Notamacropus eugenii: one gene and its partners. The protein of the gene in region 2 binds, or shares a complex with, the protein of the main gene of each other region. Links are inferred from orthologs where the notes say so. Each region holds a gene or a part of one and is shown on either strand. Other genes may lie near its edges.

Region 1 (3,745 bases), on a different chromosome or scaffold from region 2:
ATCAAATATTGTCCCTTTATATATTCCTTTATTACCCTTGTATTATTTTTATTTGAATTGTACCTTTGTAGCTTATGGATAACCTGTGCTACTATGATGGATGCATATTAGAAAATTCAATGTGACAGCTTCCAGGAGGCAAATTTACAATGAAATAATACTTTCTATATTATAAATACATGTAAAGATAAAAAAAAAACACTAGGTGTCACTACCATTTGATCCTACTTTATTCATTCACATATGTTCCCCAAATCCTTAATATAAGCTTGATAGGTTTTGATTTTCAAATTAACACCAGCATGCAAAGAATCACCTGAAGATGTAACACAGCAAGGATTACAGAAACCCCAATGTTACAACAGAACTACTGTAATGTAGAACTATTGTTAACCCCAAATGGTGTAGTCCTAACAGGAAAACCTTTTTCTGTCATCTACCAAAATAGGAAGTTCTAATGGAAAAGAATGCTGTCTTGTTCCCAAAACCTTACACTGAGTTAAAGAGGGTACTAAATACACTGCTAATTTGAATATCACCTCTGAATATCTAATAAGGCCACCTTCTTTAAAGAAGCACCAGAAAACCAACCTAACAAGAGGCAAAACTATAAATAATTTCCTACTTTGTTCTTTCATTAAAAGTTTCATTTAATGGTTTAATTTAGAAAATGTTTCTTTTCTTCTTTTTCTTGGACTTGTCAAAAGGTTAATCACCAAATTCAGACCACAGCAACAAGACTGAAACTCTCCTTCTTGAAAGCACCACCGACTGAGCAATCATGAGGAACTGAAAGCCAATCAGACTGTCAGAATGTAGAGTTGTTCCCCTAAAAGGAAAACCACACAGCGTTCATTTGTTTCCTCCATTTCTAGAACCATATAGACGGTTCCAAGACTGTATATCTTTCCCTAGGTCTAGTAAAATAAAGAAGACTTATCTTTACGCTTTTTAGTAAGTGCAGTTTTATCTACTGATCTACTAATATTTTGAATGAAATGCACATCCTAATCAAAATATAGTCAAATCACTTAAAAATAATTTAGAGATATGTCAAATCAGACATTAAAAATCATAGGTTTAGGTCACTAGGGGTCCTTAAAGAGAGTTCAAGTTCAACCCTTTCATTTTACAGTGGAGGAAACTGAGCTCCAAAGGGGAACTGACTTGGCCAAGACCACATAGCTCAGAACTGGAATTAGAACCTGGGTCTTCCTACTCCAGCAGGCTTTCTCCTACCCCGGCTGTCTTCAAATGATAATTTGTTAACAGAAGACAATTTATGGTAAGTAACAAAGGATGGTGCCTCTTACAACCTATTGGCTTAGAGGAATCAATGACTGAATTAAAAAACAAAAAACCCAAAACAAATGAATCCCTTCTCCTCTTATTATTTTCAAGGCTACTTCCTTTCTGTAGTTTAGGTTCATACAGAGTAGGGGATGATTATTAAATATTTCACAGAAAGGTAACGGAGCAGAACCACAGCTCATACAGGCATTTCTACGTACAAGCAGAGAAATTCTGAAAAATGATGATTATAAACATTTAGAGCTGTGTTTAAGAATGCCTTAAGACATCAACGGTACCACCAAGTATATTTACTTTTTACATATTTCTCCCTGTAACAAAAGCTGGCAAAAAAATCATCTGATTAAAAAAAAATTTCAAGAACCATTATTACAGTGTAAAACAAAGGGATTTTTAAAAACCAGATTTGGTCGCTGCAACACCTACATCCTCCCATAGATGTTACAAAATGTATTCAAACCCACTTATGAATATTCAGATATGCAAAAGCTGGGGAACGGTGGCCTCATTTAAACTAAAAATGGGAACAATCTGAAAATCCCTCAAATGTTGTGCGCTATTCCTCCCAGTTACCATCTTCCTCTCTCAGGGCTAATTCTGGCCAGGTAGAATTCCACCAGAGAGGGCCGGGAGGTTTTCTGGACAGCTTCTGTGCCTTTTGAGGCCACCCTAGGCTAAGGAGGGAATCCGTGCCGGACCAAACCTTCAGGACGAGGGATAATAAGGAGATCTTGGGAAGATAAACGGGGATAAAGACTTTCTGCCGCCCCCACCCCCCCCGGAAAAATATTTTAAATTATGAAAGGAAAAAGCAGCCTTCTAATGAACTGATCCCCCTCCCCTTCAAAAGCTCGCTCTACACAGGGGACAGCACCCAGTCTTCTCCCCGGCCCACGGACCGGTCAATGGAGCGCTGGCGTGGAAGGGGGAAGGGCGCCCCGGGTCGTGGGCAGGGGGGTCCCCCGCGGCCAGGCCGGTGACAGGTCTGGCCCACGCACGCGCGGGGAGGCGGCCCGGAGCCCCGCGGGTGGGCGGAAGGATATTGTCGCAGGCACGAGTCCACCTCGCCCTCGTCGGGCCCGGCCTGGCCCTCGCCTCCGTCCTCCTCGTCCACGAACTTGTTCTCGTCATACTCATCCACATCCACCTTTCGGAACCGGGCCGACGACACCGTGTGCTTCGACATCCCCACGCCGGACCGGGTGGCAATTAGCCCCTGTGCTGGTCGTCGCCGCCGCTGTCCCCGGAGCCCCCAGCTCCGGCTCCGGCGTCTTCGGCTCGCTCTGCGGCTTCACTTCCCTCTTCCGCTCTGGGGCGTCGCCCGCTGCTGCGCCGGCCGCTACTGCGCCTGCGTCTCGGGGAGGGGAGGACTCCGGCGCTTGGGCCTACCCCTCCTCCACCAAGGCAGCGCCAGCCCGCGGAGGAAGCGCGCTTCTCTTTGTACGCAAGCGCAAACTCCCCTCCCCCCCCAGTGACTCCTCCCACGCAGAAAGGGGGCGGGGTTGAGAGAAAGGGGTGGGCGGAAAGAAAAAGAGGAAGGGCAGAAAGCAAAACCGCTGGAGGAGGCAGAGGTAAGAGACGATTGGTCGTCCGCGCGGGCCACGTGATCCCCAGGGGGTTACCATAGAAACAGACTCTGTGGACCGGTCCTTACACTGGTCCGCTCGGGGTCCTCGGGGCCCGGGGTGGGGGCGGGGCCGGACTGGAGCGGCCGCCGCCGCGGCGCTGTAACTAGGGTCCCGTCGCGCTGGGGGGCTGTGGGCTCGTGCCGCGGGAGGGAGGTCACTGCAGGGGCGCACGTCTGTGAAGCGGAGCCCCCCCAGGCCGGCCAGGACCCCGGGGAATGTCCGGGAGGGAGGAGGCCCGCGGGCCCAAGACTCAAAGCCTGACTGGGGAATTCGGGCTGGAGGTGGGAAGATGGCTAGATGGGGGGGGGGGGGGGGGGTGACCTCCCTGCGATGAACCTGTTGCAAACAGGGTGTGTATGGGGGGGGTCAGTCCGTCGGTCCGTTCCCAAGCAGCCGTTAAGCGCCCGCTGGGTGCTAGGCTGAACCCAGACCCTGCTCTCCAGGGGGCCTGACTGGGCACAAGCCAGATGAATACGGGACAAAGCGAGGCGTCCTCCCAGAAGGAGGGCACCACCCGACAGGGCCAAGAACGGTGTCTTGGGAGAGTCCGCTTTTAGGTGATGCTTGGAGGAAGCAAGAGACGCTGGCAGGGAGACATGGGAAGAGTGTACCTGGCGTGGGACACAGCCTGGGGAAAGGCCCCCAGTCTGGAGAAGGGATGTCCAGCGTGGGAGACAGCCGGGAGGCTGATGTCACTGTATGGGAGAGTAGATGAAGACACGCAAGGTTGAAGAAGACTGGAAAGGTGGGGGGTGGGGTGGGCAGGTCATGAGCATGTTTGATTAATGATCCTGGGAGTAATTAGG
Region 2 (3,745 bases):
AACCCAGAGGTCCCTCTTAGCTGAATTCATCTCTTTGGATGAATCTCCTATGCATGTGAAATGTCCTCTCTCAGCCAGGCCTAAAGAACATGGATTTAAGAGCTTTAAGGGATCTCAGGAACCATCTCGTCCAATCCTCTCATATTACAGACATGGAGACCAAGGCCCCAAAGGATTAAGCAACTTTTCCAAGGTCAACAGGTTCTAAATGGCAGAACTGAGTTTTGAACCCAGGCTACAAATCCAGAGGTCTTTCCTCTGGACCAGATTTCAACTTTTTGGGAATTACTCAGGAAGAGAGTAACTGGTCTCATAAACTCCAATAATCTCAGAGCTTAAAGGGGCTTTAGCTACCACCTAACCAATCCTTCCATTTCACAAAAGAGGAAATTGAGGTCAAAAGAGTTTAAGTTACTTGGCCAACGTCACAGATTTAGTACAAACTGGAAACTAAAGTCCAAGTCAATCAGTCCAAAAGCATTTATTAATTGGCCACCATGTGCCAAGCACTGTTCTAGGCACTGGGGATTCAAAGACAAGATGAAACTGTCCCTGTTTTCATTCTATTGGGAGAGAGAATGTGCAACACTAATAAATATATATTGAATGAATACCAGGCAGCTGTGGCATAGTGGATAAGGGCAATAGGAAATTATCTTCAAATCAGGCCTCAGATGCTTCTAGCTGTGTGACCCTAGACATGTCACTTAAACTCTGTATGTCTTAGTTTCCTCATCTATAAAATGGGGATAATAATAGTATCTACCTCCCAGGGTTATAATGAGGATTAAATGAGATAGTAATTTAAAGCGCTTAGCATAGCACCTGTAACATAATAAATACTATACAAATGTTAGCTATTATTATCGTTAGCTTTTAAAATAAATACAAGGTAACTTAGGGAGGAAGGGCGTCAGCATTTGGAGGGGACTGAGAAAGATTTCAAGGGGTAGCTAGGTGGTGCAGTGGATAGAGCACCAGTCCTGGAGTCAGGAGGACCTGACTTCAAATCAGGCCTCAGATACTTACTTACTATATGACCCTGGGCAAGTCACTTAACCCTTATTGCCTTCAAAAAAAATAGAAAAGAGAAAGATGACAAGTAGGAGGCAGTGTTTTATCTCAGTCCTGAAGAAAATATAAGACTCTTTGAGGTGGAAAGGAAGGAAAGTATTCCAGGCACAGGGGACCACTGATATGGAGGCCCAAAGATTGGAAATAAGGTACTATGTAAGAAAGAACAGGGCTAGTTTGATTAGCCCACCAAGCATGGGAAGGGGGCAATGTATAATGGACTCAAAAGGTAGACTGGGGCCAGATTTTGAAGGGCTTTCAAAGCCAGAAGAGTTTCTATTTTACCCTAGAGGTCTCCTGACTTCTAGCCAGTCTATTCCCTGCCCAAGATCTCTGCCCTCAGTGCAAAGTTCAAGTAGACTGAAAAGCATGAAGAGTGAATTGGAAAACGGAGCAATCAACAGATCCCATGTCCAAGGGTTTGCCTTCTAGGCTCAGTGATAATTAGTTACCAGAACTGCTGAATACTAGGGAAAGGACACAGGTTTCTACCTAACGTTCACAGCCAGTAAGTAGGCTTCCTCCTAAAACCTCTTTTCCTTCCCCCCTCTTCTGTGGGCAGATCTGTCCTCTGGGAGATATGACCCAGAGGGTAACTCTGTGGGAGGGTAACCCCAGGATCAATTCTGGGGAATTGGGGACCTAGGAATGGAGACACATTTTTGAACCCACCTTTTTTGAACCCACCTTTGCTGCTAACGCCATGCATGGGCTTTTCAACTTCCTCATTTGTGAAACTCGGGGATTGGGTCATATGATTTCTCATGTCCCATCTAGCACGGACAGTCTTATGTTCTACAGCCCTATCAGCTCTGACATTCTGTGTTCTATGCTCCAAGATCCCTTTCGAATGATCGTTTCTCCTTTCAAGGCCTCTTTAGATTCTAAAACTCTATGGTCTAAGGGTTCTGGCTTTCTGGGCTTCTGTAAAAGATGCAGAGAACATTCTCTGTATCTCCAAAAGGCAGCAAGCATTTATTAAACACCACATGCCGGGCACTGTGTTCATCTCTGGGAATGCAAACAGGTACAAAGAATCTTCTTTTCCTTAACCTGTGGCTGGCTTGAAGATGAGGACCCTGGGGAGGTGTTAAGGCAGAGAGAGAAGTAGAGTTCTCTAAGACAGCAGGCTCGTGGGGAAATGGTTTAGTTTCTAAGAGGATTCCAAATTCATATTCATAATATCTGGTCCTAGACCCTATATATTCCAGTAGAGACAGGGAGTGGGAGAGCAGAAATAGGAAACCAGGCATATTTCAGGGAGGTGGAGAGGGAGAAACTCACAAGAAGTCTCATTGGAGAAACGTCTGACTACATCCTTACTTCGAAACCTAAGGGGCAGAGATGGGAAGGGCTGTCCAAGTCACTCCACCCTCACTTTAAAACAGGCAGAATATATATTTTTTGAGGCAGAATATTCTTAATGAGTAGAAAAACTAAACAGAAAGAAAAAATGATTGCCTGCGCATTTCTGAGACACACACACACACACACACACACACACACACACACACACACACACACACACACACACACACACACACACACACACACACACACACACACCCCCCATCTCCCAGAGATCTAGCCTTAAAGGTACACACACTCACACACACACTCTTCCTTACCTTGGAGAGAAAAGCCAGATGCGGATGAGCCGGGGCCGGGGGATGCTCAGTCCTGGGCGAGCTGGTTCATGGACTCTGAGCAGTCCACATGAACCTCAGCCCAAGCGGCTCTGGGGACTGAAGACAGAAGTTCTGAGTTTCTCTGAAGTAATCTGACTTCCCTTTCCCTCCCCAAGAGAAGCAACCACTTCCTTGTGTGGGCGTTGGGGGACTGCAGCCCCAGCGAGCCGCCCGCCTGCCCTGCCTTGGCTCCCGCCCTCCCTTCCTCCTGCTCTCGCTCCCGCCTTCCTTCCCTCCCTCTCTCACTCCCTCCTTTCTTCTCTCCTTCCTACTGCTCTGCTCCCTGGCTCTGCCAGGCTGCCTGCACCCTGACCACTTCCCCTCGTGCTCTTGGAAACATAGAAGGAAAGGTGTTTCACCCTTCCAACACCTCCGAGTCCTGTGACTCCCGAGATGCTAAGAAGGCGCATAGATTCATTCAAACCCTCAGCAGATAGCAACCCCACCCCACTCACCCACTCACTCACTCACTCACTCACTCACTCACTCACTCACAGGGCAGCCACTGCCCGGAGTGAAATCTGGAGACAAGCAGCTAGAACCCAAATGCCACGTGTGCCCCTCTCCCCACCCCCTCCCCCTGGAGAGTTACATACCAGTGTGGACTTCACAACTTTAGAAGCCTGTGGTTTGTGGTAGCTTTGGGGGGTTGGGAGGAGGGGGAAGGATGTTACCAGCAACTTCTCATTTTTAATGCTTGCCCCCTCATCAAATGCGTTATCTTGTGGAACAGTATCTAGAGAGCTAACCTCAAAGACCTGAGTTCCAATTCTGTCTCTGATCGATATTGGATGTGTGACCCTGAGCAAGGCAAGTCGCTTCTCCATAAGTTGCAGAAAAGATCCAAACTTGGAGAAGTAAAGGGAGTTTCCTGATCTAGGAGTTCCCTAGACTAGTGAAATCCCAAATCTAGGCCTGATCCTTATTTGTTTATCTGTAAGTTGTCTGTCCATAGGAGAATGTCTTTGAGGACAGGGATTCTT
Region 3 (3,745 bases), on a different chromosome or scaffold from region 2:
AAAATCCTGTGACTTCCTATGATCCATTGTTTCATTTGAAGAATGCAGGCTACATTCCACTGACTATAGTATTAGCCATATTTTACAGAAATTTGAGACCCAAAGAGGCTAAGTTGCTTTTCCAAGGTCACAAAGACAATAAGAAGCAGAAACTGAATTCAAACCCAGGTCTTTTGACTTCAAGTACAGAGTTCTTTCTACTAACACCTCAAATTTTTTTTTACAAAAGAAAAGTATGCAATTAAAATTAGAAATAGCAAGGCATAATAGACAGGGAACTGACCTTAAAGCCAAGACCTCTGACTCACAAGGGCTCTGTGATCCTGGGCAACTCTTGGCCCTCTCAGTGCTCTAGGCAACTTTCTAAGACACTAAGTTGCAGAGATGATGTAGCCATGCAAAGAGTGAGTTTTCTGAGAATTCCCTACAGCAGTGAAATCACAGGCCCTGTGATGCATAGAGATGCATTAAAAAAACACCAACTGCAAGCCATAGTTATGATTTTTTTTTTAACAAGTCAGCTTTAAGGAGAGAAAAGTATGATCAGATCAAAAAAAGAAAAAGTACAGTCAGACCAAAGTGATAATGTTTGCATTATTGTCCTCACAGGGTTGTTGTAAACCTCAGACATAAAACAGGGAGCTGTTCAACGGAGCTGTTAAATTTCCTCCACTTGAGACTGCTCCCTGGAGTAGTCCTTATTTTCTGAGACTGAGTCAACCAATTAAAGGATCTTTGGGTAAATAAAAGCTGCACATTATGTGTCAAACTTCTTTATTAGAAGTTGTACCAGAGAGACATAGCTGACTATAGCCATCAATAAAATGAAGTATATTCTTCTTTCTGAAGTCATGAACAGCTAAGCGCCACTTGATAACCTTCCTGCTTATAAAGATTTTGCTTCCATAGCCAGAAATAAGACCACTTCCAGAGTTTAGGGAGCCTATTTTTGGCCTTTATGAGAAGCTGTCTCACTTTTTAAAATCTCTAAAACTGCTTCCAACCTCAAAGGGAAACAATATGGAGAAAAGATATGCCAAACAAGGAACACTAAAAGCTGTTGAAATAGCAAAAATATACTAACAGAGAATGAGATGAGGCTATTTTTAGAAGCCAAACATTCTAGGCAGGAGAAAAAAAAGTACTTCTGGGGAAATAAAGAAGAAAGTCACAATTTCAGACAGTGGGAACCAGCACTAGCCCTTCCAGCTTTCCTTTCTATTCCCAGGCAGGGGTAAAAAATCCACGGGGCCTTCTTGTATTCTAAAACTGCTTCCCTCACTTCCCCTCCCCCACCGCACACCTATTTTTAACAAGGCTCGATCCCTGTCACAGCATGAGGGTATGAAGCACGGTTAATGAATGCAGATCTGTATCTGGAACTGCTCTGACCCCATCCATTACTCAGCACTGGATCACCTTGGGCACTCCCCAGACCGGCTGAGGAGAAGGGCCCCATTTCCTGCCCCATTTCCCCCCCTACATCTCCACTCCGTAGGGTGGGGTCCCATGCAGTTAAAGACACCCACCCCTTCCATTTCTGAACAGGTAAAACCAACCACTCCACATTTTTCCCAACTTGGCCCATCCCTCCGGCCCTCACACCTGTATTCAGTCCCAGGCCGGTGGGATGGGGAAATCAGAACACTTGGAGAAGCCAGAGTCCCAGGGCTTCGGGGGCAAGTTCCCGGAGGCTGCCAATCTCTTTACACAAAGCAGGGATGGAGGTGCAAATCACCAGAGGGGAAAACAAGGTGCTGACCCCCTGAGGTGCGTGGGGGGGGGGACCCTCGATAAATGTTTCCTACCTTGAGCGGGTTCTACAATGTACCGGAAAAGCTAAACCTGCAGCACAGAACTAGGATGGGGAGAGAGGAATCTCCGAACCGCCGGACCGGTGGGATGCAGCCGGGCGGAGAAGGGTGTCCGGAATCGCGGGGCGGCCCTGGAAGGCTCTGGGGGTGAGCGGGGGTGACCGGCGCTCGCCACCTCGCCACGCTCCCCTCCCCGACCCCTCCCCCCCTCCTCTGGGTCTCTCCCTGCCTGCGCCCCCTCCTCCTCTCCCTCCCCGGAGCCCGCGCGGGGGGCGGAAGGATATTGCCGCAGGAGGCTGTCCACCTCCCCGGGGTCCGGGTCCGAGTCGGGGCCCGGCTCCGCCGCCGTGGCCGCCGCCGCTTCCTCCTGCTCGTCCACGAACTTGTTCTCGTCGAACTCGTCGATGTCCACCTTGCGGAAGCGCGAGGACAGCGTGTTCCGAGCCATGGCGGCGGCCGCCTCCGCCTCCCGCGCAAGGCCGGGGGAGAGAGAGAGAGAGGAGACAGCGAGAGACCGCGAGAGCGCGAGCGAGAAGACCCCGCAGGGACAGCGCTCGGAGCCCGGCAACGGCCCCGGCAACGCTCCGGAGACGACTCCGCCGCGCCGCGCGCCGCGCCGCGACGCACACCCACTTCCGGCCAGGGCCGGAAGCGGATGTCGGTCAGCGAGGGGGCGGGGCTGGGCTTGGGGAGGCAAGGAGGCTGCTTTGCGCCGGCGAGGCTGACCCCGGGCCGCTTCTGCCGGCTGGCGGCTGCGGGGCGGGGGAGGGGCGTGGTGGTAAATAATCGTTCCAAACCGATGCCCTACTGCGAGTGTGTCAGGATTTACCCCATCAGCAACAGCCCAGGGAAGTAAGAAGGGCTGAGGACTAACCGTCTTCTTCTGCCCGAATCTAGAAAGGGCAGCTGGAGCGTCCCTGAGGCCCCTCCCAGACCTCGCCGTCTGAGAATTTGTGAGTGATTGTGCCCTGCTGGCCCAGGGAGTCAGCGGGCACTGGTCAGGGAGGCGGAGAAAAGGCCCCTGCTCTCCCGGATCTCAGTCTGCCCAGGAGACTGGCCGGACAGCTACGAAGAGAGGAGGGGGAGACAGCCCCAGAGGAAAGGCCTGTGTTCGGCCTTCCTTCTCAGAGAGGACCATGACGTCAGGGAGATGACGACATGACTTGCCCTTGACCTGGTTTTGAGTGAGGGAGGGCTGTGCCAGGTCACCAGCCTCACTGGAGATGGCCCAGGATGTAGTGGGAGACCCTGGCTCTTTTAGGCGAAGACTTTTCAGGTTCTCACTTTGAGTGAATTAATACCCATTCAGTGAATAGGCCTCTTTGTCAAGGGATGACCCCTTTAATCTAAAAAGAAAAAAAGGGAAGGCCCTAGTAGGAGGGAAGAGTGGGAAAGGCTTCTTGTAGTTAATCAATATATTATTTCAGTCAATCACTAAATATTTATTAAGCACCCATTATGTACTAAATTGTGCTAAATGCTAGGCATAAAAAAGAGGCAGAATACAATCTTGCCCTCAAGGAGCTTACAATCTAAGGAACTTTAAGGAAGGAGAAGTAAGGAAGTGGAATTAGGGAGAGAATTCTAGGCATGGAGAACAGCTTTCCCCTTTAATCAGAGGGGTCCCAGAGGCAGAGGGTACTGATGAGGTCGGTACCAAGGCTGATAATGTGATTTTGCAGAATGGTGAGGTTCCTAGGAGAACCTGACTGCTAAGTGCTTTACAAATATTCTCTTTTTTGATCATTTAATTACAGCTGTTGGAGAGCCAGGACTATCACTCATCTTTGCCTTGCCTTTACTACTGATGAATCACAGATCTCAATAAGTAGAGGAGCTGTCCAAGAAATGTTTATTGAATGAAGCTTACAGAGGGACAGACATTCCCAAAGAAGGGAAGTGACCTGCTCAGAGCCACATAGGATTTAGAA

The links. Proteins that work in one complex are often made in the same cells at the same time.
Region 1: ARPC1B (region 2) and ARPC5 share a complex: the UniProt entries of both Homo sapiens proteins name them as parts of the arp2/3 complex. The link is inferred for Notamacropus eugenii from reciprocal best matches to the Homo sapiens genes ARPC1B and ARPC5.
Region 3: the proteins of ARPC1B (region 2) and ARPC5L are in contact, whole or in part, in a cryo-EM structure (PDB 6YW6), measured with the Homo sapiens proteins. The link is inferred for Notamacropus eugenii from reciprocal best matches to the Homo sapiens genes ARPC1B and ARPC5L. Residues at the interface, in NP_005711.1 of Homo sapiens: Arg118, Lys138, Arg142, Phe164, Ser201, Gly203, Trp204, His222, Asp223, Ser224, Thr225, Leu240, Ala241, Ser242, Glu243, Thr244, Leu245, Pro246, Phe281; in NP_112240.1 of Homo sapiens: Asn21, Lys22, Arg102, Gly139, Leu140, Gly141, Ile144, Arg145, Thr148, Arg150, Lys151.

What each region holds. Positions count from the first base shown.
Region 1 is NC_092873.1:461,445,746-461,449,490, reverse strand, and holds the start of ARPC5 (actin-related protein 2/3 complex subunit 5), read right to left. Parts: upstream 2,633-3,745; 5' UTR 2,498-2,632; coding exon 2,355-2,497; intron 830-2,354; coding exon of another isoform or gene 801-829; exon of another isoform or gene 213-800; intron 1-212. Other genes in the region: APOBEC4 (putative C->U-editing enzyme APOBEC-4), read right to left, coding at 3,354-3,634. UniProt on the Homo sapiens protein: Component of the Arp2/3 complex, a multiprotein complex that mediates actin polymerization upon stimulation by nucleation-promoting factor (NPF).
Region 2 is NC_092874.1:379,899,815-379,903,559, forward strand, and holds the start of ARPC1B (actin-related protein 2/3 complex subunit 1B), read right to left. Parts: upstream 2,961-3,745; 5' UTR 2,703-2,960; intron 1-2,702. UniProt on the Homo sapiens protein: Component of the Arp2/3 complex, a multiprotein complex that mediates actin polymerization upon stimulation by nucleation-promoting factor (NPF).
Region 3 is NC_092872.1:447,142,807-447,146,551, reverse strand, and holds the start of ARPC5L (actin-related protein 2/3 complex subunit 5-like protein), read right to left. Parts: upstream 2,459-3,745; 5' UTR 2,263-2,458; coding exon 2,099-2,262; intron 1,771-2,098; exon of another isoform or gene 1,668-1,770; intron 1-1,667. UniProt on the Homo sapiens protein: May function as component of the Arp2/3 complex which is involved in regulation of actin polymerization and together with an activating nucleation-promoting factor (NPF) mediates the formation of branched actin networks.